Linked DNA regions of Elephas maximus indicus. The protein of the gene in region 3 purifies or fractionates together with the protein of the main gene of each other region. This does not show direct contact. Links are inferred from orthologs where the notes say so. Each region holds a gene or a part of one and is shown on either strand. Other genes may lie near its edges. The genes, in order: TUT1, GLUL, USP15 and SMAD2.

What was found.
Region 1: the proteins of USP15 (region 3) and TUT1 purify together in Homo sapiens (affinity purification with mass spectrometry; 4 studies listed by BioGRID and IntAct, with this or other methods). This does not show direct contact. The link is inferred for Elephas maximus indicus from reciprocal best matches to the Homo sapiens genes USP15 and TUT1.
Region 2: the proteins of USP15 (region 3) and GLUL purify together in Homo sapiens (affinity purification with mass spectrometry; 3 studies listed by BioGRID, with this or other methods). This does not show direct contact. The link is inferred for Elephas maximus indicus from reciprocal best matches to the Homo sapiens genes USP15 and GLUL.
Region 4: the proteins of USP15 (region 3) and SMAD2 purify together in Homo sapiens (affinity purification with western blotting; 4 studies listed by BioGRID). This does not show direct contact. The link is inferred for Elephas maximus indicus from reciprocal best matches to the Homo sapiens genes USP15 and SMAD2.

Annotation. Positions count from the first base shown.
Region 1 is NC_064825.1:125,773,965-125,781,087, forward strand, and holds the start of TUT1 (speckle targeted PIP5K1A-regulated poly(A) polymerase), read right to left. Parts: upstream 3,067-7,123; 5' UTR 2,978-3,066; coding exon 2,896-2,977; intron 1,553-2,895; coding exon 1,362-1,552; intron 1-1,361. Other genes in the region: metastasis-associated protein MTA2, read right to left, coding at 5,687-5,852, 6,051-6,199, 6,307-6,425, 6,831-6,920, 7,067-7,123. UniProt on the Homo sapiens protein: Poly(A) polymerase that creates the 3'-poly(A) tail of specific pre-mRNAs. Localizes to nuclear speckles together with PIP5K1A and mediates polyadenylation of a select set of mRNAs, such as HMOX1.
Region 2 is NC_064842.1:45,558,925-45,566,541, forward strand, and holds the start of GLUL (glutamine synthetase), read right to left. Parts: upstream 3,046-7,617; 5' UTR 2,840-3,045; intron 1-2,839. UniProt on the Homo sapiens protein: Glutamine synthetase that catalyzes the ATP-dependent conversion of glutamate and ammonia to glutamine.
Region 3 is NC_064822.1:122,512,052-122,519,744, reverse strand, and holds the start of USP15 (ubiquitin carboxyl-terminal hydrolase 15), read right to left. Parts: upstream 3,097-7,693; 5' UTR 3,040-3,096; coding exon 2,951-3,039; intron 1-2,950. UniProt on the Homo sapiens protein: Hydrolase that removes conjugated ubiquitin from target proteins and regulates various pathways such as the TGF-beta receptor signaling, NF-kappa-B and RNF41/NRDP1-PRKN pathways.
Region 4 is NC_064829.1:56,507,124-56,514,244, forward strand, and holds the start of SMAD2 (mothers against decapentaplegic homolog 2), read right to left. Parts: upstream 3,036-7,121; 5' UTR 2,717-3,035; intron 2,388-2,716; exon of another isoform or gene 2,302-2,387; intron 1-2,301. UniProt on the Homo sapiens protein: Receptor-regulated SMAD (R-SMAD) that is an intracellular signal transducer and transcriptional modulator activated by TGF-beta (transforming growth factor) and activin type 1 receptor kinases.

The DNA.
Region 1 (7,123 bases), on a different chromosome or scaffold from region 3:
GTCAGGCGTCAGGCTGGAGGTTTCTCCTGACTCACGTGGTTGCAGGGCTGAGACACCCAAATCGGCAGGTCAGATAACAGGCTGCTGGCTCGCAAGGCTGCAGGAGCCGGCAATCAGGTCAGAAGACAGGCTGCTGGCTCAGGTCCCAAGAACTGGAGGTCAGATGATGAGCCAGATGCAGAATTCAGAGCAAGAGAGAGAGCTTTGCCGGAGCACTCACATACATATTGGATGCGGACCACAGCATCAAGGAAACTCTTCTTACTTGAGCAAAGCAGTGCAACGGTGTGACTTGAATAAGTGTGGTGACTGGGGAAAAGGTGGTGACTTGAGTCACACCTTCTAGTAAAGGGGTGACTCAAGGTACATCCCACCCTAATCCTGCCTCATTAACTTAATGGAAAACTCACTCCCAAATGGAACCATAATCACAGGCATAGAGGCTAGGATTTACAACACATCACAAAACTGGGAATAATTACATCAGATTACAAAATGGAGGACAATTACATTAGGCCACAAAATGGAGGATGATTAAATCTTTACATAACTGCCAAACAACTGAAAATCATGGCCCGGCCAAGATGACACATAACCTTAACCATCACAAGTTCCATACATCTTATCTGCATTAGCAGCACGCTGCCTAATCCTCTTGGTGGGCCACAAGCACATTATTTGCATAGTCCTAACCAATCATGTGTGAGAATCACAAAGACTACAGCTGGAAGAGCCATATTAAGCAATTCACTGTACCACACTTGGGCATCACCTAAGTCATGTCTACTTAACAGAGTACAGCCTCAGAACTACAATATGGCCAAAGAACACAGCACTGTGACAGTAAACTTTATCAAGGACACTGACAAAAGTTAGGACAGGGTCTTCTAACCAGATAACCTCAGGACCCCTCAGGGTAAATTAATAAACTGCCATCTGGTTTATCAACCAGTTGCTTTGGGGTTTGAAAGTCCCCCAAAGGTGTGTTCTTAAAGCACCCACTTCACTGTAGTCATTTAATTGTCTACTTTCTTCTCTAGACTGTAAGCTCTGTGCAAGCAGAAACAACACCTACTTCATCACTCAGAACACAGCTCTAAGCACAGTGCCTAGTACAAAGCTAGCAGTCAACAAATATTTGGTGAATAACAGATTGACTAAATCTAACAAGTCTCCTCGTGAACTGATAAAATCCAGGGGAGGGCTCACAAAACAGGACTAGCTTAGGTACTGTGGTGTCCCACCAAGGACAGGCCACATTAGGAACCAGCCAAAATAGGCTGCTGGTTTCTCTCTCATGTCTCTTTTGGTATGTGGCATACTCGACTCATTCTTTACACCCCCAGAGTCATTCATTGTACCTTGTCCTTATCCATGACAACACTGGCAACAGGCCCAAATGCCTCAAAGTACTCAGACAGTTGAGTAGAATCCACATCCCGGGGAAAGCCACTGACAAACACACTTCGAAGTCCCTGGGCCTTTCGAGCAGCTCGTAGTTCCACCAGGTGCCGGTGCTTTCGGCCTCCCAAGTGGGCATCTAGGCTGGGTCCTGCAAAGACAAGCATGAGACAAAAACACCCAAATCACCCTCCACTGTACCTGCCCTGCCTTTGCTCTTTGCACACCTAAATTCTACTGATCCTTCAAAGTTATACTAAGTGTGACCTTTGAATAAACAAAGTCCTGTCTCCTTTCTTCTTCTACCTTCCTCCTTTGTCCTTTGTCCCTATATATTCTCCAAGTGGTTCCCCGGAGAAGGCTACACTACAAATATATCTTAAGCCATCTGTAAGTACTAGGTGCAGCAACACCTGCCAATTGTGAAGACATGAAGAGATGACTTATTCAGGTTATATATGGAAGGACTAAGTAACTCAGGACCCTAGACTATTCCCCATGGACCATCTCTGGGTATGGTACAGTGATTATTATAAGTGCAGGCTTTTAAGTCACTTACCCAAATCCAAATCCCTGCTCTGTCAAGCTATGTGAGACCTTGAGCAAGTTACTAAACCTCTCTGCCTCAGTTTCCTCAGGTATAAGATGAAGGTAATAATAGTACTTGCTACATAGGTGCTATTCAGATACAGCACTTATCAGAGAGTCTGATACATGGTAAATGTGGAAAAGTTAGCCTCTATCGTTATTTTTATTATATTTGAGTCTGCTGCTTGGTGTCACCAATGTAGATATGGGGCCAGGGAAGACTTAATGACTCCTAGGTTTCTGGCTTGCCCTACTGGACAGGTGAGACTGCCATTCACAGAGGAAGGGAGAAGACCCCATTTAGGGAAGATCATGATTGACGAGTTCACAATCAGAATCGGAGGGTTCACTGAGCCCCTTGCATTGTCTTACTACGATCTGTCACTTTTCCAAACTCACTCTCTGTCCCTCCCTCACTGGTATCCTACGCTGCATCACCGCAGCCTGTCATGCTATTTCACATATCCCTGCTTTTGGGTCACTTCTCTGTAAGACTTGCCTAACTCTTAATTACTGCCTTCTCTAATCCCACAGCTCTCCAAACACATCTATAGTGTATTGAAAGTGTCTCCCTCTCTGGATGTCAGCTCCTTCATCTCTGAACCCCCTTCTTTCACCCTAGGGTCCAGCAGAGTGCAGGGACAGGGCAGATGTCCAATAGATGACGGCTGAAGAGGGAATAAAATAACGGGACTTTCGTCGTCGAGGTCTTGGATACGGGGAAGGAGATCTATAAAGTGATGGGACTTTCTCCTCTTCAATCCCTTCGGACCGGCGGCGGCCTACGAAAACGGAACTGGGTGATCCCACCAACCGACTTGACAGGAACTATGACCTTTAACCCTAACTTTCGCTAGGGTCAAAAGATGAGAGCCCGCATCCACCCCCTCGCTAGCCAACTCTTACGGTTCGCTGTAGTAATGCGGCAGAGGCAGCAGCGGAAACCCCCACGCGGCAGCGATTCGACATCCGAATCCACCGCCGCCATCGTCACTTCCCAATACCGACAAAAAAAACAAGCACTTCTGCCTTCGCCAGAACCCTGTCTTCCAAATAGCAACGCGCTCGGAAGCAATTTCCGCCGCTCGGATGGGAAGTGACGTAGTCGCGGCACTCGTGCAGGCACACCCCCTCCGGAAACCCATCGCTTTCCACTCAGGGTTCCGTTTCTAGCCTGGGTGCAGTCTCCACCGATATAAGAAAAGCCGCCCATCTACGATGCTTATCTGCATGCGGTGAGCCGATTGGTGTGCTCTGAGATAATCATGCGATGATTGGTTCAAAGATCATGAATATTCAACACAGTAGCCACAAAGGCAAGCGCCGTCTTGCGTTTCGGGCCATTTTCCAGACAGCCGGCCGCCTCGGTGCTGGGTGGTCGCGGGCCGGCTGAGCGCCCCTTTCAAGCACGGTAGACATCCGCGCGGCTGCGCCCGTAACCCTTCACTTACCCAGGGAGTAAAGGCGGAGGATGGACAGTCTCCACTCTTTGCCCCACGAAGCCTGGGGCTGCCCCTGGACTCCCAACCGCCTCACGACTGTTACCCTCTCCCTCCTGGGCCTTCCCCAAAACGAGGGTCACGAGCGCCCCAGCCCGCCGGCTGGGGAGGGGGGTGATTCTCCGGCCGGCCGGCCGGCCTCATCCGACGCCCCTTTGTACTTGCGCCCGGCGGCAAATGCCCCTCTCTGCCCCCCTCGCTACGGCTCTGTGCAGCCTAGCCTTGGTTGGGAAGCTCTGCCCCGTCCTCCGCCGGCTACCTTGCCGACTCCGTGGAACCGCAGCCAGATCACGCGGCCTGGGTGAGCCAGACTCATCCCTGCATCCACTTGCCTTCGGCGTTAGTGGGCTGCGTGGAGTGTACTCACGAGGCGCCAGTCACTGGCCCCCTTCAAGGCAGCGCTGAAGACACCGGCCGTGGTGGCAGCTGAATGAGGACACTGGAGGAGGGAAGTGCTGCTGCCGCCCTCAAGCTGGTACAGTGTTCTGTTCTTCCCCAGACACGGCTGCTGGTGTGGGCTCACTTCACCGGAAGTGAGTAAAAGAGTTAGGGAGACCCTGGGGGCAGGGGCCAGACCGAGATGGAGGGGATCGTAATTTTAAACAGTTTATGCTGTGGTTTCGCTTATACAAAGTGGACCTGAGGCAGACATACCAAGGGCTGTGACCTTGAGCAAGTCACTTTGCCGAGGTTGTCCCCCATCTCTAAAGGAGGGGCCCAAGGAGCACACAGTAAGCTGACCTTCCTGTCTTCTCTCCTGAGGTATCCGTCCTATAGGGCCCTGTTCAGGTATCTGTTCTATCTCCCAAGCCTAAATAGGCAGAGAATAGCACTGCATCGGGCCCCAATATCAAGGCAGTTGCTGAGGCTCTGAGAATCCTGATGCTGCAGGCTGAGTACAGCCTGGAGCTGGGTGGTAAGATCCTGCGGTACCTGCTAAGGTGGCCTACATCGTGCCCCGGCCTCTGGCCTCTAGCAACTCCCAGAATTTCCTAAGAAAAAGGGACAGGGAAATAACCAGTTTCTGTAGAATCGATGCTGACTCATGGTAACCCCATGTGTGTCAGGGGAGAACTGTGATCTCTCACGTTTTCAATGGCTGATTTTGGAGTAGATCAACTTTTTTCCAAGGTGCCTCTGGGTAAACTCAAACCATCAACCTTTCGGTACTATCTGCATCACCCAGGGATTCCAGAGGGAAATAAGAGTTGGGGAAATAGAGGAAGCGGCAGTCATACCCCGCTCCTCGGGAAGCCACCAGCCATCCAGAGGCAGTTCATCCCAACTGCTTTGACTGAATCTGGCCAGGATGGTGCTTGGTCTCTAGCACCACTGGGGGCTGTGGGGATCCTGGGGTGGGGGGTAGAATTTGGGCCCACGAGGCTGGCTACAGCAGGCAGCCTCAGTCCATATTTCATAAAGAAGCTGTTTCCAGGGCAAGCCCCATCTGTACTTGCTTTATAATCCTTTGTCCTTTATTATTTTCCCTCTTGAAGACCTCCCCTCCCTTCCCCCACGCATATCCATGGCAGAGAACAGCTGAGCCGGGAGGAGCTGAAGAAAACAGCTTTTTATTTGTTACTATAAGAACCAATTACAGAATCTAGGGTTAAAAAAATGGACAAAAGATCTTTATTTCTGAGAGTTGGCGTACAAAAGGCAGAGGGGGAGGGGGGAAGAAAGAGCGAGCATGGGCTGGGGTTGATGCCAGCTTAGGGGCCTCAAACTCCAATTAGGAAAGTCCGGACACCGGACAGGAAGAGAACCCCCAATTAGGAAAAAAATAAAAAGACATGGCAGTGCACACCCCCCTCCCCCAATCAGGTACAACCACCTGACATCTGTTTACTCTTCCCCTCCCCCTTCCCTTTCACAAAGGGAGGCAAAATTTTTAAAAAATTAAAAAACCCTCCCCCCAAAACTGTCCAAGACAATTTGTGGGTCCTACTCGACAAAACAGGCCAGGTTCCCACATAGGCCAAGTCCCTGCAGTCAGTCCTCCATCACCAGGCACAGAGAAGCATGGGGAGGGGACAAGCCCAGCTGTGGTGCCACCAGGGGGCGCCCACCCCCTCCAGGGACACACATTTGCTCCCTCTTCACAGGCCTCACTCCCTTTGATACTAGAAAAAAAGGAGGATTGGGTGCCCAAGCACCTACCCTCAACCTCTCAGCCCACCTCCCTTCCCCACAGATGCTCAGTCCTCCAGGACAATGGGCTCATTGGTGCTGGCAGGATGTGAGGGTGCAGGCAGAGGAACTGGGGGCCGCACTGCAATCAGCGATGGCTTCACCTTCAGGGGTAAGTTGGGTCTTCGGGCAGCTCGTCGCATTTCCAAGTGGGTCAGAGCCTTCCGCAGGGCCCTGGCCAAGAGAGGGGAAGAAAGAAGGCTAAGACCCCCAAGGTGAAACTCCACATGGCAGTTCTGCCTTCCCAGCACTGCCCCTCCCTGCACCACCAGTCTTCCTGGAGCTGCTTGCTCTTGCTTAGATGTTCCTATTTCTCATATCCACCAACCTGGGTTATCAACTTCTCAGCCCCTCCCATGGTGGGCTCCCTACCTGGTATCTTTTGTGGCCACAAACACCACAGGATTGGGGGCATCAGCTGGGTTTAGTTTCTGACGCTTGGCTGCTGGCTGTGAGCTTGAGCGAATCCCTGAGGCCAGAGGCCTTCCATTGGCAGAGAAGGGGACCCCTACCCCTGCCATCTGGAAAAGGGTGGGGCAACACAATGAGGGAGGGGACCTGCTCAGACTCCTACCAGAATAAAAGCATGCCCAACTCAGCTTTGGCCCACCCCAGCCTGTCAACTCACAGTCTCATAGGCCCGTTTGACCATAATGCCCCCCAGTCCTCGGTTCTGGGTCAGCTGGTTTCTATTGATAGGTGTCTTGGTGCCCCGAGGTGTTTTTGGTTTCAAAGGTGCTTGGGCCACTGCCAGGAAAAAAATAATAAAACTTAGAGAACTTTGACACTTTCTCTTCCCTACAGTTTCCCTTTCTCAACTCCATCTCTTTCTCCTGGGTGCATAGTTTCCTTGGGCATCTCCAAAAGTAGCAATCGGGAAGGGTCTGGTAAGCTATTTCCAATATTTCAGAAATCATACAGGACTGTGATCTGACCAAATCAGTATGGTAATACTGGGTAGCTTATGAAAAGAATCATTAACATACAAAAACACAGTTAGACTAACTTTTTAAGAACTCAGTGGGGAAAAAAAAAGCAGGGAGAAGGAAGGTTCTTGACAGTAAAGGGAGTAGGAGGAGCCTACCTCCACCCTAATTGGGTCACCTGTCCTATGCCCAGCCTATATCCACAGTCTGGTTCCCCATCCCATACCCAAATCTTTGACGATAGTTGCCAAGGGCAGCCGCGCCAGAGGGTGAATCTTCAGTGGAGTCTTGGCAGCCTTAGGAAGTCGGATGGAGCCTGGAGAAATAAGATTAAAGCTTCTGAAGGGGCTTCACAATTCAGGCCTCTGCTGGGGCCAGGAGCCATGTCAAATCTGTGTCCTACCATCCCTACCGTCATTAACATCTAGGGAAACCCGCCACAAGGCCTTCCACTGCCCTTACACTCTGCCTTGATGGCATTGGCATTGATAGGAGCATAAGGTCGTCGGGCAGCCCTCC
Region 2 (7,617 bases), on a different chromosome or scaffold from region 3:
AGAGAAAAGACAGCAATGTTCAGAGCGCAGAACACCAACTGCAAACCGAATCCTTGCGGTGGTTCAAGAGAGACAGTTAAATCAAAGGAAAACACTACCCTCAAGAAGTCAGGGTGAGAGTGGCGGCCACTGCCTTTGAAGTCACATACCCATAGGTGTATTTATCCAATGTGCTTTCTGGGGTATTAAAGTTTTATATCAGATAAAACTCTCTTTATAAGGCTATAAAATCTGAGTACCACCTTTTGAAGAGATTAAAGCAGATACTTACTGGAGAAAAGACCAAGCCATTGGTGGTAACCCTTGACCCCTCTCTGCATCCTTGGGCTCAGAAGTTGAAGTTCTGCAGCTTCTTCAAATCCAAGGCTTCCCTCCCCAAGCTAGAATCTAGACTTGTGAGGACTAACCCCTATCCCTCAGTGTAGCTGAGGTAGAATTGTTTAGAAAGCTTCTTATATTATGAAACTAGGGGCAAAAACAAGAAACTATTAAGGTTCAGAAATGTTTTAAAAGTTGTTCTCTTCTCCCAATAAAAGTAAAATCCAGACACAGAAAGACTTGGCTGCTATGGTTTCTGGCTGAATCTTCCCTTTGCCTTTCATTCTAGCTGTGTTCTTAATAAAAACCCCTTTCTGGAGATTCTCCCTCCCTTTGAAGGGTAGGGGGCAGACCCAACCATTTAGATTTAAGGATGAAAAACCAGGCTACCCAGAAGATTTAGAAGGCTGAGGCTTCCTACAAAAATGAAATAAAAGGATGACAGTTATTACAATCACCAAGATGTAAAAACAGCTACCAATCCAATTCGGATTCCAAGGTGAACACTACCACAGTTTCCATTGGTCTGATGCAAAGTTGTCGGTCACTTCAGAACATGGGCTCATTCATATTTAAGTTTGAGAATGACAATATTCTTGAGATCCCACTAGACAACTTCTCAAATAGGAATTCCCATTTCTAAACCAAAAAACTCTGGGATTTCAAAAGCTCTGAGGCACACTAGCCACCACTACAAAACTTCTGAAAAGAACAAAAACCAGAAAGAAGAGGCCACAAAACAAGAGGAAACGTTTTCTCCTCCCTCCCCCACCAAAGGCCCAGGGTGGCTGGAAAGGGAACACATTGTTCTTTCTCTTGCAATGACTTGGGTAACTTTCTGAAGTACAGTGGCAAAGTTTCTATGGGCAACGGTCCATGTTTGCCCAGCTGAAAACATAACTGCTTCTTCCAACAGCCTCATCCTTCTCCCTTGGGGAAAAGAACCTCCTTTGCCTATTCCATCTATAAGACTTGGTCTGTCAAATCACGTCGCTCCCCCATCCCTGCCTGAATGACCAGCAGGAACGATCCTGATCCTTTCTGTTTCCAAGAAAAGCTTTCCACTCTCAGCTTTCCTCCCCAACCCGTTTGTTTCACCTCCAAAATCCAGCCACATTTTCTCTTAAGTCTAGGTGAAGCGTCTCCTGCCCTCTCTGGTGATCAGAAGCGGAGGCCAGCAGCCTAGTCTACTTTAGCAACTGGTGCCTTCACGGTGCCAAGTTTTACGTGGGGGAAAAAATGGGACTCTGAAGCTTTTAGCTGTTTCTGCAGCTGCCACCGGCTCCGGAGTCCTCTCTCTCTGCCCTCTCACTCACCCCAGCCAATGGAGGTCAGTAATATTTCCGGGGGCTCCCTCTATTTTAGCCCTCCTCTTTTTTGATTTCTGTTCACGCTCCTCCTTGATCTCCGGCTCTCGCTGGTCCAGACACCGGATCTTTTTGGGAGAGGGGGACGGAGACGGAGATGCAGACCGAGAGCCCTCGGGTCGGGGGATGCTGGAATACTGAGGCTGGTGGGTTAAGGCCTTAATCTTGAATCGCGATTTCTCTCCGGACTTCACCGAATAGGCGACGAACCCAAAGCAGTTGGAGGGCGACCCCGAGGACCGCGACTCTGTGTCGTCCGCATCGTACTTTGTGGCTTTGCGGCTAGGGGAGCGGCCCCGCTTCCTGCCCCCGGGGGAGTTGGAATCCACTTTTAGACGAGCCCCTACGCCCTGAAATGTCACGAACGTCGGCGCCCCGCCCCCCCGGGTCTGGATCTCAGGGCCTCACCAAGGGGGCCATTCTCCTCTGAGGGCAGAGGCTGGGGGAAGCGGGGCGGCGACAGGAGGGATGAACGGAGGGAGGGGCGGTGCGCGGCTGCCGCCTCGGCCCGGCCTCTCCGTTAGCCGCACCCGCCGGGTAACGCCGCGGTGCCGGGCTCCCCATTGTTCGGTCATAAGTGGAAGGCCCAGAATTTTCCCCGGTCTCCGGGGCGGGAAGCAGCCACGCAAACAAAACACTCATGGTTATTCCCTTCAACGTTGGCGTCTACAAGATAATCAACACCACCACGACCTCCAAAACCCGCCACCACGCGGAGGAAGAGAGCGAGGCGCCCGCGCCTACCAGGAGCCCCGGCGTGCGCTCCCGCAGCGGAACACAGCCTCTCCCTCCACAACCTAAACACCCCGAGCCCAGGGCTCCGCCCAGGCGAGGGGCTCCACGGCTCTGCCCGCCGAGGCCTCCAGGGCCTGCCTGTGGGCCACTGCAGCAGAAGGAAGATCAAAACAACCCCCCCCAACCCTTCTCAAAACCCTGATAAGGGCGCGCCCCACAAACGGCAGCCCAGGTCCGCCCGGAATTACCGACGGCGGAAGCACGCGCGCGTCTTCGACACCCCCGGGGGGCCGAAAGCAGAGGAGGGGGCTGGAGGCAGGGAAGGGGCCAAAGAGAAAAGGCCGCGGGGCCGCGGCGGGGAGGAGGCCGGGGAAAAGGCACGCTTGCTTTCCGCGCCCCGAGGGCAGCCAGGCGCTTACCTGGGCGGCGAGCCGGCTGGAGGGAGAGTAGGCCGCGAGAGCGAGGTGAGGAGAGGAGGCCAGGTAGACAGGTCAGACGCTCGACTCTGCTCCCATCCTCGGCTCTGAAGGGTGGCCCGGAGCCGGACACCCTTTATCGTCGGCCAGGGGCCGCCCCCGGCGCCCTGATTGGCTTCCAGCGGCCGGGAGCCCGGGCTGATCAGCTGATGTGCGCCCGGGCACAGCGGCCATTGGGCGAGGAGCGGTGCGGGCGCGCCGCCGGGTGGGGGAGCGCGAGCCGGGAAAGAAAGAGAAAGGGACGTGGGGGAGGGGGAGGGTTTGGGGAGGAGGGGAGGGTTTGGGGAGGAGGGGAGGGTTTGGGGAGGAGGGGAGGGTTTGGGGAGGAGGGGAGGGTTTGGGGAGGAGGGGAGGGTTTGGGGAGGAGGGGAGGGTTTGGGGAGGAGGGGAGGGTTTGGGGAGGAGGGGAGGGAAGAAGGGCTGGCCGGCTGGCTGCGCGCGGAGGGCGCTGGTTCCCGCCGAGGAAGGACCCTTCCTGCAGCAGGCTTGAGCAAAACAACCCCGGGCCGCCGCGCCCAGCCCAGAGCACCGACCTGGGTCTGGCCCTGCAGCCCCCCAGCCCCGAGTTCCAAGCCTCCTAGAAAACCTCCCCGGGCAGCCGCCGCTGCTGCCTTCGGGTTGAATAGTTTTGTTTTTTTGCAAGGAGAATTTCATCTTTTACGAGGTCATACCGCGGACTCCAGAGGTGGAAATTCTGAACCACGGAAACATATTGGCTTTTGGTGTTAGTGACCAGCCCCCCGCCCCACCGGCCCGCTCGTGGTTGTTTGCGTCGGAGTGCGGGGCTCGAGAAGGCTCCAGAGGGGGTTGCTGATGGGAGGCCCGGGATTCCAGCGTCCACGAAGAGCCCTCTCCCCAGTTCTCTCAGGGGTTTTGGGGAAGTGGACAGAACTCTGCTATTTCACATGTTTAATCATCTTGCGGTGTTTATATAATTCCATTGAGAAGATTTCGGCGGGCGGTAGAAACAGTCAGGAGACCTGTCTGAGAAGGTCTCTGTCAGTCCTTAATCGAGTTACTCAGCCTCCTTGGGCCCGTTTCTTCATATGCAAAACAAAGCAGTTTGAAGGGACCTTTAGGGCTGCTGGCCAGATTTGAAATTGTGCTTTTATGCAAACTGTTCCCCAAGAGCAGATGAAAGTGAGGTGTTCTCATGGCCCCGCGGTAGCCCAGGGTTCCTCAAAAGTTTAGAATTCCTTAAATTCTCCCTGTTTTTGCTTTGCAAGTAACTTAGGCCTTCTTTTAAATCTATAAAATGGGAATAATTGGCTTTTGCTCCTCTCAGCCTTGCGGTGATGGTTGAGAAAACATGTGAGTGCAGCCTTGAAAATGGATGCTTGTCAACAGATGCACAGTAATCCTATTTTTAAAATACTGTTCTTGCTACCAGTCCTGTTACTTGGCCGTTCTATTTTTATTGCCCAAAGTCTACCTGATGATTAAAAAATAATAATAAAAACCAAACCCGTTGCCGTCAAGTCGATTGCAACTCATAGTGACCCTATAGGACAGAGTAGACATGCCCCATAGAGCTTCCAAGGAGTGCCTGGCAGATCTGAACTGCTGACCCTTGGGCTAGTAGCCATAGCACTTAACCACCAGGCCACCAGGGTTTCTAACCTTTATTGCATCTTTTGCGAGCTCAGTCAGAATCGACTGGATGGCACTGGGTTTGGTTTTTTGGTTTGTTGCAAGCTCCAGCCTTTAAGACTTTGCAATTTTTCTGTTTGAAGGCCAAGAGTCCGTGCTCCCAGTACCTTCGGGAGAGGAAGGAAAGAAGTTTCTTCTGGTTATTTTTTGTACCACAAATATGGAAAAGAAATATTGCCTGTAACCACACACATAACTTGGCTTCTTTGATCAACATCTCTTTCCTTTAAAAGTGTGTCTAACACTGTAATGCTTTTCACTGATAAATACAGCATTCATATCAAACAGGGGCTTTTGGAATGTTTCAAACTGATGGCATTCTGGACACAGTAAAAAAAACACAGTAAGGCACCTCACAAATCTAAGGGATTCCAAATTAAGTTTAAGTGTTGCATGTTGAAGCATTATAACGTGGTAGTTCAAGGCTGGGCTTTGGGTCAGACAAACCTAGATTCAAATCTGGGCTTTAGTTCTTACTAGCTTTGTGTTGACTGAGTTACTTAGCCACACTAAACCTCAGTTTCCTTGCCTATAAAATTATTATTGTGGAGCCCCTGGGTGGTGCAAACAGTTAATGTGCTCCATTGCTAACCCAAAGGTTGGAGGTTCCTCCACACGGAGGTGTCTTGGAAGAAAGGCCTGGCAATCTACTTCCAAAAAATCCGCCATTGAAGACCCTGTGGAGCACAGTTCTACTCTGACACACATGGGATTGCCATGAATCAGAGTTGACTCAATGGGAACCGGTTTTTTACTTTATCGTGAAGATTAATTGTGATAACACATGTAAAAGAGATTAGGATAGTACCTGGGACGTAGTAAATATTTACGAAAATATTCTTAATTATTATTGGCCAAGATAATTTGAAAAGATTGGATTGTTTCCTTCCATATACCAGCCGTTCACTGAGACCCATTAAATGCAACTTTCTAACTCAGTGAAATATACCACCATTAGTTTTATGAAAGTGGGCTCACACCTGGGAACAGAGTGAGCTATCTTCATTCCATTTCTTTCTGTGAAGTCTTGAGTTTAAATGGTTGGATGGAGGGGGAGGTGATGTTTTTATTTACAAAGATACCAAACTGCCAAGCCATAAACCACCGACTTCCACAGCACTCCTTACCACCAGCCACTGCACTGGAAGGCCGTGGTTTATGGCAAGCATTAATGGAAGGTGGAATATGAAGAAGCAAATGCAGTTTTTTTTAGTTTATAGTGTCGCGTTTTATGATGCAAGTGCCTACTTTCCTTGCTAAGTATTTTAACCTCCTGGAGTAGCTTATTCATCTTTTTCTCCCCCAACAGTGTCCAGTAAGTGATGTTTGTTGACTACACAGAAGTGACAGCGGCACCATCAAGAGAACCAGTGCTTTGAGCTGCTTTTCCAAGAATGGAAATGGATTTGCTTTGATCCGTTCATGTGACAAGGGGCGTGCTTTGTGAGGGATAGGAACATAATACCCGACCACTGACTCTTTCCGGAGTGAACCAGAGGACTTGTCCTCCTTGGTCAGCCCCACACTTTCTTAAGCCCATCGAATTAGGGCCCCAGTGAGTCCAAGGAGTGACCAGGGAAGCCTAAGAATGCATGAGAAGAAGTCCTTTAACCGACCGGTTTGCCTCCAGAGACCCAGACTGTACATTTAGAGAAGTTAAAAGTGGAACAGCCTGTTTCATCCAGTTTGACTTTGCTGTGTCTGCTGCCCTTTGTTCTCACTCCCTTTCTTCCCTAAATTGCCACCCACCCCCACTTTCCACCCCTCCATAAAAAGAGCCTTAGAATGCTTGAACTCATGAACCTTTCTATCTCTTGGTATGTACAGTTTCAAAGCTGGTGGGGTTCTAATGCGTGCACTTTGAAGTCATGTTTTTCTGTCTTAGAGAAGAGTAGCTGTGTCCACAGGGTGGGTGGAGTGGGAGACCAGCACTGCAGGTAAAACTTTTGCTCCAAATCTGCAGAAATGTTTGGAGATGGAAAACATTTCTGCAGTGTTGTTCTGCTGCCTGAAATAAAGGCCTTCTCTTGGGTGGGCTTTACCTGTGAGTTGTCCTCTCAGCGTCTTTCTCTAGGTCTTTAAAGGACCTAGACTCACTCTCAAGGAGTCCCTGGGTGGTGTAAACAGTTAAGCATTCGACTACTAGCAAAAATGTTGGCAGTTCGAACCCACCCAGAGGCGCCTCAGAAGACAAGCCTGGTGATCTACTTCGGAAAGGTCACAGCCTTGAAAATCCTATGGAGCAGTTCTACTCTGCAAACGGGTCACCACGAGTCAGAATCGACGCAAAGGCAACTAACGACAATGACATTCTCATTCACAGGTCTGAACCCTATAACCTGGTGACAAGACAGTGCTTTCCTAGAGCCTGTGCGGGTGCCTTACACTCACAAGATATGAGTAGGGCTCAAGCCAACCCAAACCTTTGGCCATAGTGTGCAGTTTGGAGATAGGAAGTTTTCTCTATATTTGGATGATTTCGATGAATGTTCAAGCAAAGCCTTAAATTGGGCTAAAGAGACACGGCTAAGAATCAGGACTGAGGAACATCCTGGAAACCCAGCCCAGAATTATAAACTAGTCTGTTTTTGAATAAACCAACACCAATTCTTTCCAAAAGGATAGATTACGGTAAAATCTTAAAGCAAAAACAAAAGAGAGAAAAAGACAACTCTAGCAGTTGATAGCATTACTCTTAGACCATATTTTATGGAGAAGCTGCAGGTGGCCAAGTTTCCAGATTTATTCTGCACAATAAAAGAAGAAAAGACCAGGTCATACTTCAATTCAGTACCTAACTGTAGGCTCAGAGAATTTATTTTTTATATCCTTTCTGATTATTTGATGAAAGGAGAGGAAGCTAGAAGTTTAAGCCTCAGCCATTTCTCTGCGGCCCAATGTAAGGTTTGTTGAACACTTGTTGAAATCATTGAAATACAGGGAAAACTCCATTTCCCAAAACTCGTGTTATGACTGAAGGTTTCGCTCTGTTCGACGCCTACCCCAAATCTTGTCTCTAATGGGAAACCACTTTGAGAGTTGGGGAGAATGAAGTTCACTTAGCTAAGAAC
Region 3 (7,693 bases):
ATCTCTCCTTGGAGTTGAAGCACATAAAAAATGACATTATGAGACTATATCTTTACTCCTTCTGATGCAGACCAGTGTCACTTTTCTACTTCACCTTTTAAGAGGTATTACTCTTGTTAATCAACTATGACTTACTTTTTAAAGTCTAGTACCACATGTATCATAAAGTTTGTTCTTCATTTCAGACTTATTTATTTTTGCATCTAGACAAGTAAGCAGTTTGCAGATAAAAATCTTTCATTGTTTACAAATAAACAGAAACTCTAGCATTCATCCAGAACCAAACACATCTTATTACCTGCCTAGGCGTTAGAATTACCAGACTACTATGAGACAGCCCTTATCTACAAAGCACTCACAGCCTAACTTGTGAAATACATTTTTAAAAATTCATTTGACTGTAACTTCAAACATTTGAATTAAGCTTTTGAGAATAAACTTCTGGTAAATCTACCATTTTTTTCTCAGTAGCCCAATCTTTCAAAGATGGTGATATTCATACACCAAGGCAATGTTCCATTTACAAATGGCCCATTTCAGCTACATAAAAACAGATAGGATTTACCCAATCACCCAGAAAAGACTAACACTAAGGTTAAAAAAAGCTTAAAAGGTTACAACTAAATTTGTAGGTATCTTTACCAGTGCTGAGCTCACAAATACACTGTCGGATTTTTACTCAAGCTATTCTCCTTCAAACTCTCAATCAGACTTTTACACTACACTATTTTGAAGCAAGACAGGTTTCATCGGCTAATTTGGAAAACAAACTGGCTCGCATATAAACGAAACAGATTTCTCCAACTCCTCAGCACCACCTTGCTCATACAAGTTCATTTTCCTCCCTTTAAATGAGAAGAAAAATTAATGCGAAGATAAAAGTTTGTACCTTCTGCTGTTCCCTAAAATATCTGGGCTTCGGTTTTCTTTAAAATGAAAACATTCAAATGACTCAAACTTATGGACCCCCTGTATTTTACTCTTTAAAATGATTTACAATAACTTTGTCAAAAAGCAAAAATTATTTATTTGAAAAATACCAGAATTAAAAATTTATTTGAAAAATACCATGATTTAAAAAGTTTAATGCCCACAGTATAGATACAGCTCCTATCATCCTATAGGGCCAACAATACCAATGATTACTCAGTATACCAAAAGTATAACAAGACTAAAGAGAAACAATAATCCAAAATTTAATTTACATATTTCTATTTTAAGGAAATACACATTTACGTTTTTACACAGGGTAATGGGCTAGATAAATTAAGAATTCTTAGAAGTTCTTTAACAAATAGAGCAAGGATTGATTTCATCTTTAAAAACCCACAGGCCAAAGTAAATACAGGTTATCCTAGGATATGTAGCCAAATTTCTCCAAAGAAATAAACATGTTAGGAATGCTCCAATGTGAATAATAACAATTATTTATTCAAAGGTCATATTTTGTGCTGTAATGCAACGAGTATATGTTGACACCCACAGGTATTTTTATCATATAAACACAGTACGCAGCCTACAAAGTAGGAAAAAAGTACCAGGACTTAGATCAAAGTATTTAAATTCAAGTCCCAACCCTAATATCACAGCATTTTGTTAGGAGTAAAAGGTGGAGATAAAAAGGCAACTAAAATTTAACACTTTTCTTAAGTATCAAATCTATTTTAAGTATTTAATTGAATCAGGATAAAACCCTTATAAAAAAACTATTGTCCATTTCATAGATGAAGATACTGAAATGCAATAATTTAAATTACCTTTCCCCAAAGTTATACTGCAAGTTAATTACTGCAACTGTGACATAACTCAGGTCTAAATTCTATGCTCTTTCCATTAAGCTATATTACAGTATCTGAAAAAACACTTTGTAAATTACATACCATAGTTACAGAGACAGTGGGAAGTGGAAATAATTTTTTCTTATAATAAAAAGCTACACTAACTACATTATATTCCTTAGCTGTTCCAGTAAAGTGATACAGGAATATTTTTAAATACTACACACGAATCATACAATAGGCCTACTTGATTTCACCTTCCCTCCTAATAAACTGAGTACTTTCTCTTCATGTCACATATTCACATATTTAATTCTGGAAATCAACTGATAAGGCCGACAAGTATCAAAATTAAAATCTCCACATACTTCATTCAGTATTTTAAGTGTATATCCTCTGGTATTTTATAAGTTTCCAAACTAGCAAGTTACTTAAGCGGCAAACAGACTTACCTACTTTTTGCAGGCCTATGTTTTATGTTATCCCTGAAACAGGAGAGAAGGGCTGTACTTCAAGAAAAACGGTGCCGGCTTTTATCAAGCCTCCACTAAAGCACAAGACCACGTGGTATCTCTCAAAAGCCTAAGGTTCCCTACTTCTCTCCCTCTTTTTGACAAGGAACTGCAAACTACGGTTTCTTTCTCTTAACTGGCGCCCTGACACATGCCACCTGTATAGTACGGACCGCAAACATCCTGCAGCCTGCCTCCCGGAAGAATGCGAGAATCAGAATAAGAGGCAACTTGGATGCCGACAATGCCCGGAAAGGAAATGACTGGAGAAGTAAAGCGGATGGGATCGTAACAAACCGCGGGACCCAGACCTGTCAAACATACTGAAGAACTCAAAACCAACAACTGTAACCTATGGTTCGGAAAGGCCTGAGGTGGGAGCGGCACTATGGGAGGAAGGAGGACGAAGAGAACTGCATGAGCCGCCGCTCTGATCCCCACAAATCTCTCAGCACGCCCCAACAGGCCACGAACCCTAACCCTCACCTCCAGTCCAACCTCTGCCCCCAAATTTCGGCAGCGGCCAAAATCCTGCTGCTCAGGGCGGCAGCCGCCGGACCTACCCGCACCTGTCACTAGCGAAAGACACCAGTCCGCAGTTCCCGCCCAGTTACCCACCATCCCCGGGAAACCGCGGGCACCTCAACCTCCTTCTCTCACCAAGTGTCCCCTTTCCGGAGCGAGGTTTTGAGTAGCGTCGCGATGTCAGACCGCTGGGTGTCCAAATCCGCCGCTCCACCTTCCGCCATCTTCTTCCACTAGCGGTAGCGGAGGCGGCGGCAGCGACGGCGGCGGCGGCACGCCCCAGAGCATTGTGGGAATGGCGTCCTGCGGCCCCTCCCAGCCGCCAGGTCGAAACCAAAAGGGCCGGGGGTGGGAGCGATGCACCCGGGACAAGAGGAAGTCCCCGGGGCGGACTGGTTGCGTGACCGTGGTCTGCTCCCCCCCATCGGCCCCCGCCTCTCCAGCATCTCGTGCCGGCCGCGGCCTCCTCCGGGCCGGACCCCGGTTTTCCTCGGTGGGGAGCCGGGCGCTCACTCTCTTGAGCGATGCCACGGCCCGGTCTGTGCTTGACTTCTGCCTTCCCCTCCCTCTTTCCCACAGACGCCTGAAAACCCTTATTTGCGCATTCGCTCACTGTTGAGGGTGGGGTGGGGACGAGGGGCGTGGGGACGGTTAAGATATGGCAGAAAATTTTAGCGAGTGTGTGACTCTTGTCTTTTCATTGCGAGTCGCGGTACCCAGGCTCGGTGAGTGTTGGCCCAAAGTACAATCCGAAACCGAACGCTTGGACGCAGTGCTCATCGTGGACTTCCTAGAGCCCTCTTACTGCTGGTGTAGGTGGGGACCTTTTATAGGCTCTTTGTGACGGCTCCCCGGGCACACCCAGACAGCTAAAGTGCAGTGAAAAGCGTGTCCCAGTTCCTCGGTGAACAGGGCGTAAAATATGTATTGAGTAATAAAATATGTATTGAGTAATAAAAAAAATACCAGGTACTAAAAGGAAGGAAAGTCCTTTCCCATTATCTTCCCATGGTACGTACACCTGAAATGTAACTGGATGGTAATTGCAGTTGAGTATTAGTTGAAGCTACAATTATGCTAAAAATGAGGAAATTGAGTCTCAAAAAATCAAGGGTCTTACCTAAGGTCACACAGCTAGTAAGTGGAGAGACAAGTTTATAACCTAGGGTCCAAAGCCCATGTGCTTTTAAATGTAGCATACTCACTACCTCTTGTAATTGAAAGCCTGAACTAAAATGGGAACGCCACAAGAGTTGGAACTGAGTCCATCTTTTTTACCTCTGTATGCCTAGTGGCTAGCACAGTGTTTCCTAACATATAAAAGCCATCTAAATATTTATTTAATTAATTAATTTTGTCAAAACTGCTTAAGTATTTCAAAGAGTAAAGGTTCCAGAGACTTGGTGTTAAGACAACGCAAAATGATGTGAAAAGTCTAAAAGATGGGAAAACATCCCTATGCTCTCTTGTTTTCCCATTTTTAATGCCTACTCTAACCACTATGTGGAAACCCTGGTAGCCATAGTGGTTAAGACCTAGGGCTGCTAACCAAAAGGTTGGCAGTTCCAAGGCACTCCTTGGAAACTCTACGGGACAGTTCTACTCTGTCCTGTAGGGTCACTATGAGTTGGAATCAACTCCATGGTAATGGGTTTGGTTTTGGTTTTAACCACTGTAAGGTCACTATGAGTAGGAATCCACTGGAGGGTAATGGCTTTGTTTTTGGTTTTCTAACTCATCTGGTGGTGGTGGTGGTGTCGTTAGGTGCCGTCGAGTCAGTTCCGACTCATCGCGACCCTGTGCACGACAGAATGAAACACTGCCTGGTCCTGCGCCATCCCCACAATCATTATGCTTGAGCCCATTGTTGGAGCCACTGTATCCATCCACCTTGTTGAGGGTCTTCCTCTTTTCCACTGACCCTGTACTTTGCCAAGCATGATGTCCTTCTCCAGAGACTGATCCCGCCTGACAACATGTCCAAAGTACGTAAGATGCAGTCTTGCCATCCTTGCTTCTAAGGAGCATTCTGGTTGTACTTCTTCTAAGACAGATTTGTTCGTTCTTTTGGCAGTCCATGGTATATTCAATACTCTTCACCAACACCACAATTCAAAACCATCAATTCTTCTTCTGTCTTCCTTATTCATTATCCAGCTTTCACATGTGTATGATGTGATTGAAAATACCGTGGCTTGGGTCAGGTGCACCTTAGTCTTCAGGGTGACATCTTTACTCTTCAATACTTTAAAGAGGTCCTTTGTAGCAGATTTACCCAATGCAATGCATCTTTTGATGTCTTGACTGCTGCTTCCATGGCTGTTGATTGTGGATCCAAGTAAAATGAAATCCTTGCAATTTCAATCTTTTCTCCGTTTATCATGATGTTGCTCATTGGTCCAGTTGTGAGGAGTTTTGTTTTCTTTATGTTGAGGTACAATTCATACTGAAGGCTGTGGTCTTTGATCTTCATTAGCAAGTACTTCAAGTCTTCTTCACTTTCAGCAAGCAAGGTTGTGTCATCTGCATAACGCAGGTTGTTAATGAGTCTTCCTCCAATCCTGATGCCCCGTTCTTCTTCATATAGTCCAGCTTCTAGGATTATTTGCTCAGCATACAGGTTGAATAGGTATGGTGAAAGAATACAACCCTGATGCACACCTTTCCTGATTTTAAACCAATCAGTATCCCCTTGTTCTGTCTGAACAACTACCTCTTGATCTATGTAAAGATTCCTCATGAGCACAATTAAGTGTTCTGGAATTCCCATTCTTCCCAATGTTATCCATAATTTGTTATGATCCACACAGTCGAATGCCTTTGCATAGTCAATAAAACACAGGTAAACATCCTTCTGGTATTCTCTGCTTTCAGCCAGGATCCATATGACATCAGCAATGATATCCCTGGTTCCACATTCTCTTCTGAAACCCACCTGAATTTCTGGCAGTTCCCTATCTATATACTGCTGCAGCTGTTTTTGAGTGATCTTCAGCAAAATTTTGCTTCCATATGTTATTAATGATATTGTTCTATAATTTCCACATTCAGTTGGATCACCTTTCTTGGGAATAGGCATAAATATAGATCTTTTCCAGTCAGTTGGCCAGGAAGCTCTCTTCCACATTTCTTGGCATGGATGAGTGAGTACCTCCAGTGCTGCATCTGTTTGTTGAAACATCTCAATTGATACTCCATCAATTCCTGGAGCCTTGTTTTTCACCAATGCCTTCAGAGCAGCTTGTACTTCTTCCTTCAGTACCATTGATTCCTGATCATATGCTACCTCTTGAAATGGTTGAACATTGACTAATTCTTTTTGGTATAATGACTCTGTGTCTTCCTTCCATCTTCTTTTGATGCTTCCTGGGTTGTTTAATATTTTCCCCATAGAATCCTTCACTATTGCAACTCAAGTCCTGCATTTTTTCTTCAGTTCTTTCAGCTTGAGAAACACCAAGCGTGTCCTTCCCTTTTGGTTTTCCATCTCCAGCTCTTTGCACATGTCATTATAATATTTTACTTTGTCTTCTCGAGCTGCCCTTTGATATCTTCTGTTCAGTTCTTTTACTTCATCAAGTCTTCCTTTTGCTTTAGCTGTTCGACATTTCAAAGCAAGTTTCAGAGTCTCCTCCGACATCCCTCTTGGTCTTTTCTTTCTTTCCTGTCTTTTCAATGACCTCTTGCTTTCTTCATGTATGATGTCATTCCACAACTCATCTGGTCTTCGGTCACCAGTGTTCAACGCGTCAAATCTATTCTTCAGATGGTCTCTAAATTCAGGTGGGATATACCCAAGGTCATACTTTGGCTCTCGTGGACTTGCTCCGATTTTCTTCAGTTTCAGCTTGAACTTGCATATGAGCAATTGATGGTCTGTTCCACAGTGGCCCCTTGCCTTGTTCTGACTGATGATATTGAGCTTTTCCATTGTCTCTTTCCACAGATGTAGTCAATTTGATTTCTGTATGCTCCATCTGGCGAGGTCCATGTGTATAGTCGCCACCCCCCCCCCCCCACGTGTCTGTCAGCTTGTCGTACTGTGGGGGCTTGTGTGTTGCTGTGATGCTGGAAACTATGCCACCGGTATTTGGATACCAGCAGGGTCACCCATGGAGGACAGGTTTCAGCTGAGCTTACAGACTAAGACAGACTAGGAAGGAGGACCTGGCAGTCTTTCTGAAAAGTATTAGCCAGTGAAAACTCATCTGGTTGGAATGCAGTAAAGATGGATGTTGCTATGCCAGCAACCAGTGCTGAACAATTCCAAGTGAAAGGAGTGTATACTGACATGGTTTGTTTATATCAGCATTGATTGCTTACTTTCTGTGTAATAATCCTGTTTCACAATTACATCATCCTTGATTTGAGAGTCTGATAACAGCTTCCCATCAATGCTATTTCGTATATTATTTGGCTTCTGACAGACTGAAAAAATAGAGTTTCTCTAACCATGGGTACCTTCAAAGGGCCACAATTTTCCCCTTTTCTACCCAACCTCTGAATGAGAACAAAGAATTTTTCAAGAGAAGCAACATGGTTTGGAAAGACTTCTTTGGAATCACAGGAATCTGAGTTCAAACCTCATTTCAGCCTCTGGCTGCAAAGCACTTAACTCTTAGTTGAATCATAGACTTTGGGATAATAATACCCATCTTGGAGTCCCTGGGTGGTGAAAATGGTTAATGCACTCCGCTACCAACTAAAAAGTTGGAGGTTCAAGTCGACCCAGAGGCAAAAAATCAACCATTAAAACCCTATAGAGTGCAGTTCTACTCTGATGCACATGGCGTCCCTATGGGTCACAACTGGATCAAAGACATTAGTTTGTTTTGGTTTGTTTATTGAGTGTCAAGCATCATCCTAAATACAAGTATT
Region 4 (7,121 bases), on a different chromosome or scaffold from region 3:
TGGATAAATGCATAACGTCTCCTGAACTGTTTCCGAAATCTTTACCTTTGAAGTTTTCTGACCACCCTTACAATACTTAGTGGGAAACACTTTCCTTTACAGAAACTGAAGGCCTAAAAATGGCTCTTCCACTCCCATCAAAATAGGAGGAAGCTAAAAGACACGCCCCTCTCAACCCCCTAAAAATGACTCTTGTCCCAAGAATATGAATAAACTTCCATCTGCCAGACTGCACTTAATACAGCTTTTATATGCATTACAAAAACACCTGTACAAAAAAGCTGCTACAAAACGAGGCTTCTGGAGTCTTAAAATACAAAACCAACAGAATCAAAACCCAACAAGAAGAAAGCAAGCTTTTAGGCCTAAAAGCCAAAAGTGAAAATATTTTCAAAATGTAAACATTCATCAGTTTATGCAGCTAAACTGAGTGTTTCTAGTGCACATTATGTCCCCCAGTGAGAAGTAATGAGATTACTGCAACAAAATCCTAACGTTTACAATATGACAATGAAAAGGGCAGCCTCCCACCCCCTACCCCCCCCCAACCTGAAGTAGAAACAACCTTTGTTCCTGTTAAGGAGAACTTCTGAGTTGAAGGCTGGAAATACACAAAATCATCCCCAAAATTCCTACTTAAGAGTTAAAACATATTACCAAGGCTGACAAGCCACAAACAACAGGAAATTACCCTGCACAGTTTCTTACAAGACTAGTATTTCATGAACCTTATAGTTTGTGTAGGAAATTGACCACTTATGACTAGATACACAGTTACATCCTTGAAAAACCAAACTTTTGTTAAACATCTACAATGAGAAATCACTGCTTCAGAAGGTGTACTACAAAGTATAAAAACCAAGCTTCTAAGAGCAACATTTTACTAAAATACAGAAACAGATGTTTCCAACACTAAATAAAAATGGCCAATGAACTCCTTCAAACTCAATAGCAGATTTTAACAGAAAGTGGGCACTCACTTTAGAAATGCCCAAAGACATTTTATTTACTATCTACCACACTTTATGACAAAAACTGAGAAACTCTAAAAATACAATCAGTATTACTTTCTGAATTTAATATAAATGCTTTGCTAACTATTTGAGTTATACTTCCATGTTAGAATCTTTTTGTTAAAAGAGGTCAAAACTAGAACAAATGTATTTTCAGCATAATAACAGCAAATTTATTATCTTATTAGGCTAGAGGAAAACATCTTTACTATCAGTGGCACAGGTTCAATTCGTATGAAATTAGAAGAGAGAAAATGAAAAGGAAATACAGACTCATTCAGAATTCTGGAAATTAACTTAATTTTCAGAGACCATTTTTGAAAAGCTGAGATAAGTTTGTGTGATCACTTACTTATAATCATTTTACTGTATGTAGTTCAAGACACCAAAACTGATATACTCCAAACTGTAGCAAACAAGACATGACTTTGACGGATAATACTACTTCCAAATTCGTTTTGCCTAGCAATTCTTTTCAACAAAGGTTTTGCTGACAGCAAACCAACAGTATTTGGCTTCTAAAGGGTCAAGAGGGAGGAATAACAAAACCAACCTAGGTATTGTTTTTCTTTTGTTTGGGATCAAAAGGAAAGCATAACTACCTGAGAGTAAGTAAGCAGCAGACAAAAGTACACTACCCAAGGCCAGTAGTCCACCAAAAGAGAAAAAAATCATTAAAGTTGCAATTTTGAAAACCAAGTTTTAAATACACGAAATAAGTTACCGTGCTTTCTCAAGGCGGGTGATAAAAACTAATCGCCTCCACTCACGAAGCAACTTTCCCGAGTAAAGAATGATCTCGACAGAGTAGCAGCCGTGTGCGTGTTTATGTGAGCACACACAAGCAATTCAGAACCGGAGACTATTATGGTTAACAAAGGTTGCAAGACCAAAAAAACTGGAAGCAAAGAAAGTATCTCACACTCGTAACACGGCTTTCCAACAACTCCTGAAATAAGAGCTCTGTCCCTTCGACTTTAAAAATCAGAACCACAAACTAGCAAGTGTGTTACCAGCGGAGGAGAAGAGACACATCGGCCCGCGCCCCGGACCAGGCTCGCCCGCAGCTCCAGGACGCGGCGCTGGCACGTTTGGCCCCTTCCCTTTCGGCCTTCCCCTGGCCCCTTCGATCCTCGTCCATCCGAAAGCCCGGCGCACCCACTGCCCCCAACCCCGCCACACCCCAACCCCCAACGGCCCGTGGCCATGTGACACGGCGAATCTTACCGACCCAAGCCAAACACAAACACACCCCTACCCCCAGGGCCGCCGGGCACGGGGGCTTTACCTGGACCGGGGCTCCAGGTCCCGCCCCGTCAGATCCGGGGGTCCGGGACCTTTTGTTCTTTCCTCTTCCGAATGGGATGGAGGGGGCTGGGAGGGGAAGAGGGGAATGGTCGATTGGAGGCGGAACTGAAAACACTCCCAGCCGCCCGGCTTCCCGCCCCACCCCGCCCCCCAGCTCAGTTCCCGGCGCGCAGCCGGGCAAGGGGAGGGTCGCGGGCCCGGCCGCCACCGCCCGCCGGAGAAGGAGGGGGTGGGGACGCGCGCGTCCCGCCGCCGCCCCTCCTCCCCTCGCGCGCGCGCGCCCGGACCTCCCCTCCCGGCCCCGGACGCCAAGCCCTCCCCCGCCGCGCCCACCGGCCACCTCCGCTTCCGCCCGCCGCCCTCACACCGCGGCCGCAGCGGCGCAGCGCACCCACCTCCCGGCGGCCCGCTCGGCGCTCGCTGGCTGCTGGCTGGCGAGCTGCTCCTCCGCCGCCGCGGCCGCGCGGCTAGACCCGCCTCCCACCGCGGGCCCCGCCGATTCGCCGGCGCAGCCCCGGGGCTGGCACCCTGCCGCCCGCTGATTGGCGCCCCCACCCGCCTGTTAGGGCGCGAGGAACGCCGGCCGAGCAGAGCGCTCCGCGCGCACAGCAGATGAAGGGAGCGGAGGAGGGAAGGAAGGAGGCCGAGCGCCAAGGGAAGGGCTGGGGGCGAGCGGGGCGCCGAGAGTCGCGGGCCACTACCTCCCCGCCTCCCTTTCCCTTCGGCCGCCCCGCCCACCCGGCTGGACCGGCGGCGCTCGCAGCCAATCAGCGCGCGGGCTGGCCGGGGTGTGAGCCTAGCGTCCGGAGCCTTGAATCGGAAGGGAGACGTCGCGCGCTGATTGGTCCCGCCTCCCCCGTAGAGCGTGAGGCGAGGCGCGGCCGGCTGGCGGCAGAGGCCGAGGAGGGGCTGGACGCGAGCGGTCTCGGCTGATTTCAATTCCGGCACCCTCCCAGAAGCGACTCTGGGAAAGGGAGGGAAGAGTGGAAGGCACGTAACCTGCCGCGCTGGGAAAATAATCCCCAGCGACCACCGGCTCTCGTTGCCGCTTCCTGGGCCCCTTCCTTGGTCCCTGCCAGCGCCATTGGGTGGGGCCGATTTGGGGGCTGCTGCCTCGTCCACTTTCCGTCGTTAAGCCGGGTGAGCACGTGCTCATGCCTGGGGGAGGCTCCTAGCTGCCCCGAGAATAGGACGGGCAAGGGACAGAAAGAGCCCGGTACCCGCCCGCAACTGGGCGCGCCCGTATGCAAATGAGTGGGCGTGGCCCCTCGTGGTGCTAGGCGGGGGCGGGGTCCGAGATGTAAATAAGCCGAGAGCCAGAGGGATGTACTTTCTCTGTGTATTTAGGGTGAGGGAAAGGGATACCAGGTATTTTGGTGTAACCTGCATCTTGGTTTCCAGTTTCAGTAACAGTGGTGCTAATAATGCATTTCTGAACCATCGTTGTGAAGTTTAAAAAGATAAGCGCCTGGCAATATGCCTAATAATTATTGGGTTATTTTCCGTTTTTCATTTCTCCACAGTTTTGGCATGCCTTCTTGCAACCAGTATGTTCCCAGGCCTGAACTTGACACATCTGCGCCAGGGAAGGCAGCAGAGCCCTAAGCTGCTGACTGCCCAAGGCTGGGGTGCAACCGCCCTCGGATAACCGTGCCGCGTTTACCGTAGGGACACCCAAACCTATGCTGACGAGAATATTAAACCTAACTAATCACTTCAAGGGAACCCTGGCGGTGTAGTGGTAATCACATCAAGGAGGAGCCCTGGTAGTGCACTGGTTAAGAATTTGCCTGCTAACTTAAAGCTGAGCAGTTCAAACCCACCAGCAGCTCCTTGGGAGAAAGATGTGGCAGTCTACTTTTCTGTAGATCTACAGCCTTGGAAACCCAACGGGGAAGTTCTGCTCTGTCCTACGGGGTCACTATGTGTTAGAATCGACTCCAAAATGGGTTTTTAATCATAAAAAAATTTTAAGCACCGACTATGTTAGGTTGACAACTTGGGTGCAGTTCGAATCCACCAGCTGCTCCTTGGAAACCCTATGGGGGCAGTTCTACTCTGTCTTATAGGGTGCCTATGAGTTGGAATCGACTGTAAAGGGTTTGGTTTTTTTGGTTTACGTTAGGCAGGGGGCACCAGAGAACTGAAGTTGGAAAGAATCTCAGGTTTCACACAGGTAGTTTGTGGCAAGGACAAGACTACTGTTGTTTTGGGTGCCATGGAGTCAGTTGCAACTCATAGTGATCCTATGGGACAGAGTAGAACTTCCCCAAAGGATTTCCTAGGCTGTAATCTTTACTGGAGCAGATATCCAGGTCTTTTCTCCAGCAGAACCATTCAGCAGATTTGAACCGCTAACCTTTCAGTTAGCAGCCAACCACTAACCGTTTGTGCCACCAGGCCTCCTTAGAGACAAGATTAGGACACAGTTTTCTTGGCTCCCTGCCCAACACTCTCTCATGTACTACTTCATTAATGTAATTGGGGACTGTCTTAGGCTGGGTTTTCTAGGGAAGCAAAACCAGTAAAGCATATGAATACATACAGAGAGAGATTTATATCAAGGAAACATCTCACAAGATTGTAGAGGCTGGAATGTCCCAAGTCCATGAATTAAGATAGAGGCTTCTCCTGACTCACGTAGCCGCAGGGGCTGGCGAACCTAACATCGGCAGGACGGAGAGCAGGGCTCTTGCTCACAAGTTGTGAAGATCCATGAATCCCAGGATTGGCAGGTAAGCTGCTAGCTCAAGTCCCAAGAATCGGAGGTCAGGCAAACGGGAGCCAGCTGTGGGATCCAGAGCAGGCAAAAGCCAGAGCATCCGCTTATATTCAGATACAGGCCACAAGCCTGAAGAAACTCCCTTTCAACCAATTGGCTACTCACAGCAGATCCCATCATGGGGGTGATCACATATAAACACTGAGAACCATGGCCCAGCCAAGTTGACACACAATCTTAACCATCACAGTGACTCAAGTGGGACAGCATCACTAGCAATACCGAATTAAGAAGTACCAAATGAGCATTTCAGAGTCCTCAAAGTGTACTGTTTCCAGAAGTGGAGGAAATCTCAGCTGGACTTTGAGAAATATTTGGCCTTCTGTCTGAGTCTTACAGGTTTTCCAGAGTTCTTCTCAAAATCTCCATCTCTCTCCCAAAGCATGGAAGTACTTTTCTGATTGAAAGGTGATGAAGGGTATGAACCCTGGAGTTAGGCAAATCGTAGTTTTGAATGCAGCTCTTCCACATCCGTGATCTTTGGCAAGTGGAACTAACTTGCAATGATACCTATTTAAATGTAGTTTTGTGATTATTAAGTAGAATAATAAATATGCAAATGAGTAGCATAGTGCTTTGAAGTTAAAAGAAAGTCGATAATCAACATTTCTTTTCTGTTCCTGTATGCATTATGCAAATATGAGCCTACTCAGCAGGAGGGGTTCCGTCAAAAAGTTTACTTTCAGGGTGGCTTCTTCATGGTTGGTTTAGAGGCAGCCTTACTCACCCATTTTTTATAAAATAGCGTGTGAAGGAGACCCAGGAAGACAAGTGGTGGAGCTGTTCCACCTCCTGGCTTTGTGTTCCCACTTCCCAGAGCCACCAGGGAACATGGTCATGGGCAAACCCAAACCCGTTGCCATTAGTTGATTCTGACTTATAGAGACCCTACAGAACAGAGTAGAACTGCCCCATAGGGTTTCCAAGGAGCTGCTAGTGGATTTGAACTGCCAACCTTTTGGTTAGCAGCCAGGCTCTTAACCACTGATCACCAGGGCTCCTTTGGTCAAACGGAGGTGGTCCAATGACAACTAATACCAGCTACACAACTTAGAAGTATAAAGGCTGTTTCTGGTTTTTGGTCCTTCATCCTGCTAGCACAGATCAACAGTTTTAATAAGAAACAGCCTATAAAAAGCTGTCCTGCATCACACAAACATTCTCCTATGTGACCAGGGTGTGGATTTGAGTGCCCACCTGGGTGAGCAGGTGTGGTAACAAAAACAGAGCTGACCGGGATTCCAGAAGAATCTGCTCTCAGTATGGAAGCTGGGCAGTCTGGAGGGTACACTCATTCAGTGGGTAATATGCTTGGCCTAAGTTAAAGCCTCTCTCCAAAGTGTTGGACTTTGGGTCTCTAACTCTTCCACTCAGGTAGTCTTCCAAGATATGTAGGATTGAGGAAAGGGGAGGAGGGGCAATCTGGCTACCAATGCAGTCCCCAACAGGCTTACAAATGGGAGCATGCCTACTGTCCCTCTGCTAGAAAAGTATCTAAACCAAAGTGGGTCAAGACAGAAATTGAAGGCAGATGGGGCAGGGATTGCTGTGGCAACAATCAGCGTGGAAATCCACTAGGACACTTCAAGATCTATCAGTAGGTTCCTATTGTATAAGTTACACTGAGTAAGTCTAATTTATATATGGATGGACCCCAAGTTTAACCCTTCATGATGCGTGACACTGAAAAATCAATCAAAATCAATTCAGAATCCATTTAAAAGTAGTTAAATCCACTTTTTTCTTTTTTTTTGCCATCCACTAGACAGACACAAAAGAAAAATGGTAATGGTGGCTGCTTTGAGAAAGAGAGCCTGGGAGTCATGGGTATTTCATTGTTAATTTTTCTGTAGTTTGATTTTTTAAAACTATATTCATGTGTTGCTGTTCAAAATGAATGACACATCTTCCATCTCTTCTGTAGTAAATCTGTAAAGCCCTTCCTTTCTACCCCAGCCCAAAGCTATATCACTCATCTATGAACTTTCTATCTTTGGTCAGAATGATATCCATATGTG